Linked DNA regions of Macaca fascicularis. The protein of the gene in region 2 interacts with the protein of the main gene of each other region in a biochemical or structural test. Links are inferred from orthologs where the notes say so. Each region holds a gene or a part of one and is shown on either strand. Other genes may lie near its edges.

Region 1 (3,759 bases), about 47 Mb from region 2:
CTTCCAACAAAGCAGAAATTTTTATATATATATAATATATATATTGGAAAATAGGTGAGTATCTTCCACATACAGAGGAATCACTAATGAATAACTCTCAGGGTCCACATGTCACTAAAATTTTCTGTTGTCCTTTGCTTTGCAGTACCTAACTTAATTATTTCAGGATGTTTGAAAACAAACCAGTGTGTCTGGACCACATTCCACTGTCTGTATATATATATAATATATATATATATGTAAAATATATATTATATATATGTATGAATGTATTGTACCTTAAAATAAAGATACCCTAAAACACAACTTTAAAAATATTTAAAATCAAGAATATACTGAAACTTTTGTACTCAGTATGATCTATTGTGAGTTCTGAAAATCAGTCTGTTTCTCTAAACACATAAAAATACAGACAGTGGAATGTGGTCCAGACACACTGGTTTGTTTTCAAACATCCTGAAATAATTAAGTTAGGTACTGCAAAGCAAAGGACAACAGAAAATTTTAGTGACATGTGGACCCTGAGAGTTATTCATTAGTGATTCCTCTGTATGTGGAAGACACTCACCTATTTTCCAATGTTTAATTTTAAAATTAGTGTTCTCATTGTAAGAAGAGTATGTTGGATAAGAAATTGTATTTTGACCATTTGTGAGGAAAAAAAAAAAAAAAAAAAACAGCTTGCCAAACTCAACAGCAGGATTTTCAGAAAGAGATTAGTGTGCCAGATGTTTATTTTCAATGTGACATCAACCCAGTTCCTATTTTCATTTTCTTCTGCATTGCGTACCATAAGTTTGAAACTATAGTTTCCGAAGTTCCTTTCTCCATAGCTTGCTTCTACCTTAGATTCCCCCATGAGATGTACTTAAAGAAGATTTGGAAGAAGAGAAAGACAAAGTATTATCTGGTAGCAGCTGCTCATAGCAGCTGAGATCACCAACAATAGCTTTTCTTGATTCTGGAAGTTTTCCTGAGAAACATCCACTGCAGCACCATGGATAATTAGTGAGGGCATCACTAAGATTCTTGAATATCAGAATTTTCCGGAAATAGCATTTTTGACCTTAGTTCCCTCAGTTCTTCCAACAGTTGCAGAAGCCTTTCGTTCCCTTTATTAATACTCTCTTTACTCAAAAAATAAGAAATAAAATAAATTAATATTTTATATTACTTTTGGATTCAGTCCATTACTGTCCCTAAATAAAATTGTACACATCAACTGATAAGCTACACATCAGGAAATCAATTCCACAGATGATTGTGAAACCACTAACTGGAATTATTGAAGGATTTTGCAAAACTCTCTGAACTTTGATATTTACTAAGTGACCTTAAAGGCCTAGCTTTGTGGTAGTGCACTTAAATTCAGAATCACACTTGGTAACTAGCAAGGAAAGATTTCAAACCCCAAATAGTGCAATCAAGACCTTTGTATGAATACATATTACTGAGAATATCTAACATGTTGTTACTAATCAATGTCATTCTCACCTTGTGGGTTTCCTGTGCTAATGGACAAGGTAAGTTAAAAGCGATCTAAACACTCAGCTTCCCTCTTAAATGTAACTTCAGGTAATATCTAGCTTTGTATATCTATCTGTTTTTTAATGAATCAAAGAGGATTAATTCACTATGCTAGTGGAAGTGGCATATTTTGTGGGAGTATAACAGAAACTAATGTTATAAAAAATTATCTCATTTTAACTTAAAGAAAAAATGAATAATATTTTATTTGTTTTCTAAGTTCTGCAGTGTAAAAGGCATTTAATATTGATTAAGGAGATATGAGAATGTACTCATGAAACGTTATTAGGAAACATGTCATTAGACAGATTCTAAACTTAAGACGTTCAGAATTTTCTTATCCATAGTACAAGGGGAACATTGGGAGTGATTGATATTTTCATAATCTTACATATGGTGATTTTCATACATTTATATATTAAAAATCAAATAATACATTTTAAATTATGCAGTTTAATGTATTTCTATTATATCTTAAGAAAGCTGCTAAAACTAATTAACATTATCATCAACCTACCGTTTCAACAAAATTAGCAACATATATATATGTTGAATATAAACTTATATCGGAATGACATAAAAAGTAGATTATAAACTTACATTGGAATGACAGTATGTTTTGATTGGCTTTTCTGAGTCCACTAGCAAATGTTCAATAAGTAAATACACAGAAAATACTTTTCAGAGCTTTATGTCATTGTTCACTGATTTCTTTTCTCCTTGATAGTCATATATTTTCTATATTAACTATCTTTTTGAATGCAGGCTTTCCATGTTAAAGAACTATATCATAACATTAGCAGCTGAACCATATGGGTCAAAAATCGTGACCAATCAATGGTGTGTGGCTATTAATGAAGAATACAAACTTTGTTATTATTCAAGATTTTATAATATTTCAACAAATGTAACAGTGGGTAATACTGGAAATCCCATTATCAATTTATGAGAGAATCTTTTCCCTCATCCTCTCCTGTCAAAGCTATGCCACCTTATTTGATTCTAGGGAAAGAGTTTTTAGTTTTATGATATTAACTATCATATGATTTGCTAGTTTTATTTGTTGTGCAAAACAAACTTGATCTATGCCAAAATGGAAAAAAAAAAAGGAATTACTCCGGTTATTTCCTTTTTTAACTGAACTGTTACAGGTATATTTTTTCAAATAAAGATTAAATAGATTAAAGTAGAATGCAAAGGAGAAAAATAGCACTAGTTTGAAATGACTGGAATTAGAGAAGCATATGCGCTATACTTTCTTACTTACTTTCTTAAAAGCACTATAGAAAAGAATGATGACAAACTCTTTCTTATCTGATACTCCAGTTGAAAACTTGTTTCCTCCAATGAACTCTTTGTAAGAGTAAACTAGAGCAAACTGTCTTGTAACTTTGGGTCTCACCTGTATTTCTCAAAGGAGAAAGTAACTCATTTAGTGGAATAACGTGTTGGGTAGAGAGAAATATCTTTATGTATTCAGTAGCATTGGCTCAACTGCATCCCTCCAAAATTCATTTGTTAAAGTCCAAACTCTCAATACCTGAGAATGTGAGTGCATTTGGAGAAGGAGTGCTTAAAGAGGTAACTAAGTTAAAGGTCAATGATTCAGGTGGGCCCTACTCCAATATAACTGGTGTCTATATAAGAAGAGAAAATAAGGACACACCATATAGAGAAAGATCAAGCAGGCATAGAGAGAATACAACCATTTACAAGACAAAGGAAGAGGTCTCAGAAGAATTCAACCCCGTTGACAGCTATATCTCAAACTAGTAGCCTCCAGAACTGTGAGAAAATAAATTTCTATGAAATCTGTGTACTTTATTATGGTAGCTCTAGCGGATGAATAGAATGGTATTTACACAATTTATTAAAACAATATTAATAATTAAAATAACTTTCTACTTTTTACTCAAGGATATATATATATATACACACACACACACACCCCCAACACAGATTTTAGAGCGTATTCATCAGAATTTGGTAATAATATCTTGGGTGTATTGTCCTTGCTGATTTTTGTCTTGTTGAACACTTTATGTTTACATATTATCTGTATTCATCTATAATCAGAATCTAGTTAATCAAATCAACAGATATTTTTCATATGATTAATGAATGATATACTTTGTGAGTTGCTTATGCTAAGAATTTTTTTTAATGGTAGTTGATATTTCAGTTCTGAACAATAAAATCAGCACGCCAATTCTTTTGGTAGCCACACTATTT
Region 2 (3,759 bases):
TCATCTTTGAGTGGTCTGTTTCTACAAAGAACTGGAACCAACTGGGGCAAGTGCATTCTAGTCACTGAACCTGGCATCAGATTCATGGATCTCAATGATCTTTAGTTTTTGCTCCCAAATTGGAATAATGATAGAATGAGAGTATTAAAACCCCCACAACTGGCCACACATGAATGGCCAGCTGTCTCAAAAGAGGGATGTGCTTGTCAGAGGGAATCCCTTCAGGGGACTTTCGGGGACAGGTTGAAGTGCCATGGATATGTTGTGTAATGGGCAGTGTAAAGTTACAGGGACTTGGTTTCAAAGGCCCTTAGAGAAGTTAGTCACAACCTCTACAGCAACCATCAGAAAACAGCTTGGACTTGCTCAAGTAAACACGGGCTTTATTGGCTTATGGACCTGGGCAGTCCAGGTATAGATCTGGTTCTGGAAAAGGCTGATTCAGAGACTCCATGTGGTCAAGGCTCTGTTGTTTGTCAATCCCTTGGCTCCTCCACTTCCAGTTTGGCTTCTGTCTTCAGTCTCTCTCCATGTGGCAAACAAGATGGCTACTGGTGGTCCCAGGTTCATATCTTCTCAGCTTGGAAATCCAGCAGCAAGAAGATATCTCACTCCCAAAGGCCATAACTCAATCCTTGGAAAGGCTATAATTGGTCCTGCTGGGAACACATAACTATCCAACTATCCTCCAGATAGGGAGCTGGGGAGATGGGAGATGGGCTACTCTGACAGGACACCCTGTGGTTCATGTCCACTCTTGTGGCCTGGGTATATTGGGAATGAGGGGTTAAAGAAGGAATTCACAGCCCCACAAGGTTCATGTGCAAAAGGGGAGGAGTTTCCCAGAAGAGCCATAAAATTAAGAAAGCACTGCGAGCAAACAAAAACTATTGTTATGTAAGTTCTTGGCAGTAACAACATATTTATACCTAGTGCCTCATTTTGCTCTGGAAAAAAAAGCAGACCTTCTCTGCTAGGGCAATTCTAACGGCCTTTCCAGTGTGCTTTGAGAAAAATAGAGGAACTGTGCAGTATTGCTGGGCTTCCCATTTCAGGAGACCTGGGTCCAGCAGTTCCATGGCATGATCATGAGCACTCTGGACCCAAACCAGAGACCTGGCCAATGTCCTGATTCTGAGACTGAAGAGCCCTGTGAATGTGGGCAATGCCCTCCTGCTTTCTGGGGGTCCTGGGCGGGGAATTAAATAGAAGACCAGCACTTCCTTCTCAGTTCTTGCCTTGTGACATTTTTTAAAACATCATTTCCCCTTTCTGGGTGTCAGTGTTTTCATCTATGTGAGGGTAAGACATTATCTCCAAGATCTGTCCAACTTAAAAAGAAATCAAAATGAAAACAAAACACCTCAAATTCTGATTCTTTTGGACAAAGTTTCCCAGCATAGTTAACGAGCTCCCAGACCAGACACTTTGCCTCCATTCTCAGGTGCTGAGGAGGGTGGAGCAGGCCTGCAATGCATACAGGGGAACAAAGGCCCAGAGACAACCACATGGGAACCAGGCAGTGTGAAAAACCGGGAGGTACTAGAGACAGAGACGTGGGGCGCGTGCGGTGTAAAAAACCGGGAGGTACCATCAGGACCACAGCTGGGGTTTGATGAACACTTCACCTTGCACTTCATACTTCAGTGCCCGCCAGTACAGGACACTAGGACTGAAGGTCCCGCCACGATAGACGGTGCTAATCTCATCTGGTGACAGCACAAAGTCCCACATGTTCACATTTCCAATGTCTCCCACCAGGGACTGCTGTGTTTCAAAGCTCCCACCGAAGGAATCCTGCTCCTGCCCCAAGATGATGCTTGCATCTTCCCCCACAGTGTATCCCCTCTTCAGACTCTTCCTTGCCCTGGGCTTTCCATCCACCCAGAACTCCACGATCCCCGAGGCGGACTCCCAGCTTGTACAAATGTGTACTGGAGCTACTGTGACTTCAGGAACTTCGAATAATATTTCAGACCCACCCACTGTAAAACTGTATCCTATATCCTTAGACCAAAATATGAGAATCTCATTATTTTGTCTCTTGGTGGCATAAGAGAAAATACTGTACCCACGGGTTGAGGACAGTTCTGTGTAGAAGTGGAGGCACACAGTGAAGGCTTTGAGAGGCTTCGTTAACCGTGCTTTGAGGGTTACATAGGAATTATCCGACTCTTTGGGAAACACAAAAGCCTTCATCGACATGTCTGTGAGCCAGAAAAACAAGCAAATATGAGAGATTTCTCAGATCACAAAGATCTATCCCCTCACTTACGTATAGAGTTTAAAGTTGAGAAACAGACTGACCCCTTCTGCAGTTACACACACACATCACACACACACACACACACACACACACACACACGCACATCATGATGGGTGCTCCACTGTTCTGTTCATACAGTCTTAGACCCCATCCCCATACCTCAGATCAAATCTCTCCCATAGCCTGGGGTGGCCCTTACCTGTCTGGCCAAAAGCATGAGAGAGGCTGGTCAAGACCAAGAAACACAACAGCTTCTCCATGGTCACGCCCTGCTGCCAGTGATACAAGGACCTGAATTCACTCCTTTGGAAAAGATGTATTCGGCTGAAAGTTCAGGGGCTAGAAGTCCTAGATCTCTTGCCTCAGAGCTATCCCCTCCTGCCTGGATTTATATCCAAAGCAGTAAGGGAGTTTGTGCCACTTTGTAAATAATTTTCCATCATTGCCTGTTGGGGCAAGTGTCAGAGCTTCGGGAAGAGGAGAAGCAAAATTATTCCAGAACAGAGAAATCAATGTGGGTTATTTATTACAAACTCCTATGACTACTGAATTACCAATTCTTTGTGACAGGAAAAATGAAGAAATCTCCCAGGGTTCCACTTTGGCTATCTATCCTGAGAAAATAATGGGAAATAGTAACATATTAAATGAATGGTCATCTGGGTGCACATGGTAGCTGCCTCTCCAACACCCACTTCAGCCCAAGTCATAGAGTTTGACGAAGGAAAGCTGACAGCTTCTGGATATGGATATTTTCACTAACCTCTTTCAGAATTTGCTTATTTACAGATTGGGAAATGAGGAAAACAAATATGCCCTTCCCTGAGTCATGGACACATTTTCTTAGCCAACTGATTATACTTATTAAGAGCTCTCTAAACATCTTGGCACTAAATGACAGCCCTGACAGTAAAAGTCCTGTGAAATGTGTGCTGATGACAGACATAGCATTATGTCAGAGTTTCTTCCAACATTTTTCTCTGAACATGTAAAGCTTCAGGCAGGAGTCAGGATAATCTGATTCTACTCTTTCCTCTGTCCACAAGATTCAAGTAATCTCTCCACACTGTCTGTCCATCTTACTACAGTTCCCTACTTAACTCACTCTTCAAAATGACTATTATACTCCTTCTCCTTGCTCCTCAAGTCCCCAAAATCTCATTCATTCTTTTACTCAGCTGATGAACTCACCTTTCATTGAGAAGTTAGAAGCAATCAGAAAAGAACCACCATATCCTTTGTAGCAGAGGTTTCTAGCCATTCCCTCACATCCATTCTCTACTTCTCATAAGATAAGAATAACATTTTCAGTTGGGCGCTTGGTCATCCCCTCAAACACCAAATTTCCCAGCCCCCACTGTAGATTGCAGTGATGATGTGATTAAATTAAGGTCAATGAGATATGAACAGAATAGGGACAATCTCTAGGTTGTGCTCTTTAAGAAAGGTATATGCCTTCCCCTCCCACTTCCCCCTTTTTCCCTTTGGCTAGT
Region 3 (3,659 bases), about 47 Mb from region 2:
CTTTCTTTGTGCTGTAACAGTTAATTAGAAGAGAAAAATATATTTCCCTATATATATCCTTCTCATCATTTAAATCCTATGAAAAACATATTAACAATATTTAGTTAGACCTATTTTTATTTGAGAACATCTCATTGGCTGTTATTACAGTCTACCTTTATCATTATAAAGTATTATTTTAAAGACGATAAAATTTTGTGAATTTAAAAGTTAATATACATATTTATGTACACAATTTACTGACAGTATTGGCGTATAGGTTGTATTAAAATTATATTCATTGGATAATAGGTTCTACAAAAATATATAAAGCATCTTATCTTTTATTTTACAAGTCTTATAGTTGATCATTTATCAAAGCTGAGTCAAATTAGATTGAAGTATACAGCTTTGTCTTTTGCAGAACCCATGATAAGCATAGAAATTGAAAACAGTATTCTAGAAATGTAGGAATTACATTTTATAGCTCCCAAACCTCAGAGTAACTATGAGATAATCACTTTCTAATTGTATCCTTTCTTTTTCTCACTTAGCTTAATACTTTTGAGATTCATCCATGCACTATTATGTATCAGTAGTCCCTTCCATTTCATCTCATGGCTAAAAATAGTTGAATTGTACACTTGAAAATGAAGTGGATTTTGCACTATGTAAATTATATATCAATATGTGTGTTAAAAATAAATTAAATAATTTATCTTTAAAAATCTTTGTGAATGTCTACAGAGAAAAGACAAAAAAGATCAACTTTTGCCACTGCAAGATTTCCACGGTTCATTATGCAATCTCTTTAATAATAAGTAGTTACAAGTTGGGAATGTTTTAGAGAACTTTAGTTGTAAGGAATCCATTGCCAAGTATGAGGTTTGTAAACATTCAGCCCACCCACTTACCCTTTTCCTTTACTTGTTTTCTCTGTACTAGATTACCAGCTGGAAATAATTTTCTGAGTTGGTTCTCCTCAGTTGCATCATTGATACAAATTATTAAGGTCTCATTCTCCTGATGCTAGCAGAAACTCAGAATTAAGCACTCATCCCTTCCCCGACATGTACATCTTTGCTGAGTGTGAGCAAGGAATACAATACAAGCAGTTGATAATTTTGAAATACGAAGAAAGGGAAAAGAACAAAGTTTTTATTGACAACTGTTACATTTTGCTGAGAGTCCCGTGCAGCTGTCTAACTAGTCTGTACCTGATGGGATTGCTTTTACGCAAAGGCAAATTGAATTGAAAGAGATGGAATGATCATCTTCCCAAGTAGCCATTACTCTAAAAGGCAAAAAAGGCTTAGTCTGGCACAGAATGTTAAATGGTATTAGAAGTGTTTATATCTCTTTACTCCTAAAAGTGTTTTCTATATTTTTAAGTAAAACACTATCATCTCAAAGAGAGGAATGAAGTTGACAGAAACTGGATGGGAATATGTAAATCACTTACTAATGCAAACTGGTTGTGCTGACCATCCATTTTGCAAACATGTAATTGATCCTGAAGAATTTCCATCTGCTGTTGCATATCCTGGTTTACATTTATATTGCATCTCTTTATTTAAAATATAAATAGAAGAAGATTCAGAAATAAATCCATTTTCAACTTCTATATCTGATTTTGAGCATGTTCCTAATAGAAAAAGTAGAGAAAAAAAAATTTGTTGAATACTTCTTTTATAGAAGGGAACGAGTAAAAACATGGAAATATGGTAAAACAATGAAACATTTGTTAAGGAATTGAAAATAGCAAAACTGGAAGTTTCCTAGACATCCATGTTCCTAAAATAAACCATGAATTTTGAAAGAAAATAGTGAAAATACAGGGAAAGGCGGAATAAAAGCAAGGAATCCTTGAGACTGTCAACAGAGCTCTGGCAGGCCTTGCGGAGGAATGCAGATCTAGCAGACTCTCAATTCCCTATGACTTTTTGGAAGAGTTTCTGGCTACTTTGCAATAACCTGAATCTTTTTGATGCTATTAAGAGATCTTAGACCTCATATAGTCATATGCCATTTCTCAGGCAAATATACAGTACACACTGCTACCACAGACAAGGAAATAAATTTGCAAATCTTTAGTCTCCAGGAAATTAAAATGATTGTCATCTTAAGTGGGTCTTAAACCCATATAGACATGGTGTTTGAGAGAAATGTGGAAATGTAAGCAGGAAAAAAACAAACAAACAAGATAGCAAAAATAAGTTGTAATATATTAGTAATGTATAGGTTCTTCACATATTATTGTATATGTTCTATATGTTACTAATGTGTTTATGCATAAGGTAGTAATTATTTTAGTAATGTATATGTTCTAAGATATTAGTAATGTATATGTTCCTTTTTAGTTAGTAATTAAAAAAATGTAAATGGACTAATTTTACTATCTGAAAGAAAAATAAATCATGTTAAAGATGATAAATATTTATAATATAGCATTTGTCATAATCATGAGTTTTCTGATCTATTCTTGCCTACTTTTCTATTAATCTCCTCTAAACTCTAAACTACAGTGTTCAGTTTCTCTTGTAAATAATTGTATTTCATATCTATAAAGCACTTGACACACAACAATATTTATTAAGTGCATTAATGATAGAGTTGGTGCCTACGGTATGAGAAAAAGGGACTTTTCTTTCAGAGACTTAGGCTATTGTTGAGTACAATTGCTCCTACAAAGGTGTAAGAAGATTTCTATTGTCTTCCATGTCAATTATATCATAATTATCATACGGTTTCTATAATGGAATGTTTTGTAAATTGCAAGCGATGCACACAAACAACTTTCAGAGACCCCTTTACCTAAAAAGTGAAAGTCAGCTATAACAGAAGATGAGTCTTAATTTAAAGCAACAGAGCACTAACTATAACAATAGATGTCATATAATTGTGAGAGATGTACAAGTGACCTTTGGGCAAGCCTTATATTTATTGTTTAATTAATACTATAATTTCATAATCTACTTAAATCAATGCATTTAGCATGATTTCAATATAAATACTGAAGCAGTGTTACTTTCATCTATATTTTATTTATTTTGTGTTATTCAAAATTTATATTTCTATTACTTGACTATTAAGTGACAGAATCCACTCATTATCCAGAAATTATAAATGTATTCATACATATTTGGAACTGAAAACTAGCTAGGCTTCTATCTAACAATAAAAAAGGCCTATATTCAGCTTGAGAATTGATACACAAAATTTTCCCGTTAAAGGTCTAGAATCTTAGACAGTTATGGACATACTGGGATCTCAAACAAGTGGACTAACTGCCACGAATGCATCTGGGAGGAGGAGACCAATCATCCTCTGTACATGAAACTGTGGTCTGCACATTTGGAAGACCGTAGTCAGGACAGACTTCAACTTTTACAGATTGACCCTGTCAATATGTTCCTTCATATTTTGTGTTATATCCATTCTCCAAATAACTGAGAATACATTGTCCTAAAGACCATAAAATGATTAAAAAGTAAATTAGAAACATTAATTTAATCAAAATAGTATATTAAAATAATTTTAGAATATTTAAATAATACTGCATCAATACCCCAAAATAATGTATAACTGAAGGACAACTAAAGCTACTACTAAATGTTTGTACAAAAAAGTCAGTATTCAATGTTAGTTCTCTTTCGTTTTCATGATAAAATATGTATAAA

Evidence for each region.
Region 1: the proteins of CRP (region 2) and CFHR3 form a complex in vitro, tested with the Homo sapiens proteins (2 studies listed by IntAct, with this or other methods). The link is inferred for Macaca fascicularis from reciprocal best matches to the Homo sapiens genes CRP and CFHR3.
Region 3: the proteins of CRP (region 2) and complement factor H-related protein 4 form a complex in vitro, tested with the Homo sapiens proteins (4 studies listed by IntAct, with this or other methods). The link is inferred for Macaca fascicularis from reciprocal best matches to the Homo sapiens genes CRP and CFHR4.

What each region holds. Positions count from the first base shown.
Region 1 is NC_088375.1:54,511,570-54,515,328, forward strand, and holds the start of CFHR3 (complement factor H-related protein 3), read left to right. Parts: upstream 1-1,392; 5' UTR 1,393-1,465; coding exon 1,466-1,523; intron 1,524-3,759. UniProt on the Homo sapiens protein: Might be involved in complement regulation.
Region 2 is NC_088375.1:101,346,704-101,350,462, reverse strand, and holds CRP (C-reactive protein), read right to left. Parts: upstream 2,631-3,759; 5' UTR 2,527-2,630; coding exon 2,466-2,526; intron 2,208-2,465; coding exon 1,594-2,207; 3' UTR 367-1,593; downstream 1-366. UniProt on the Homo sapiens protein: Displays several functions associated with host defense: it promotes agglutination, bacterial capsular swelling, phagocytosis and complement fixation through its calcium-dependent binding to phosphorylcholine.
Region 3 is NC_088375.1:54,604,431-54,608,089, reverse strand, and holds part of complement factor H-related protein 4, read right to left. Parts: intron 1,625-3,659; coding exon 1,442-1,624; exon of another isoform or gene 894-1,441; intron 1-893.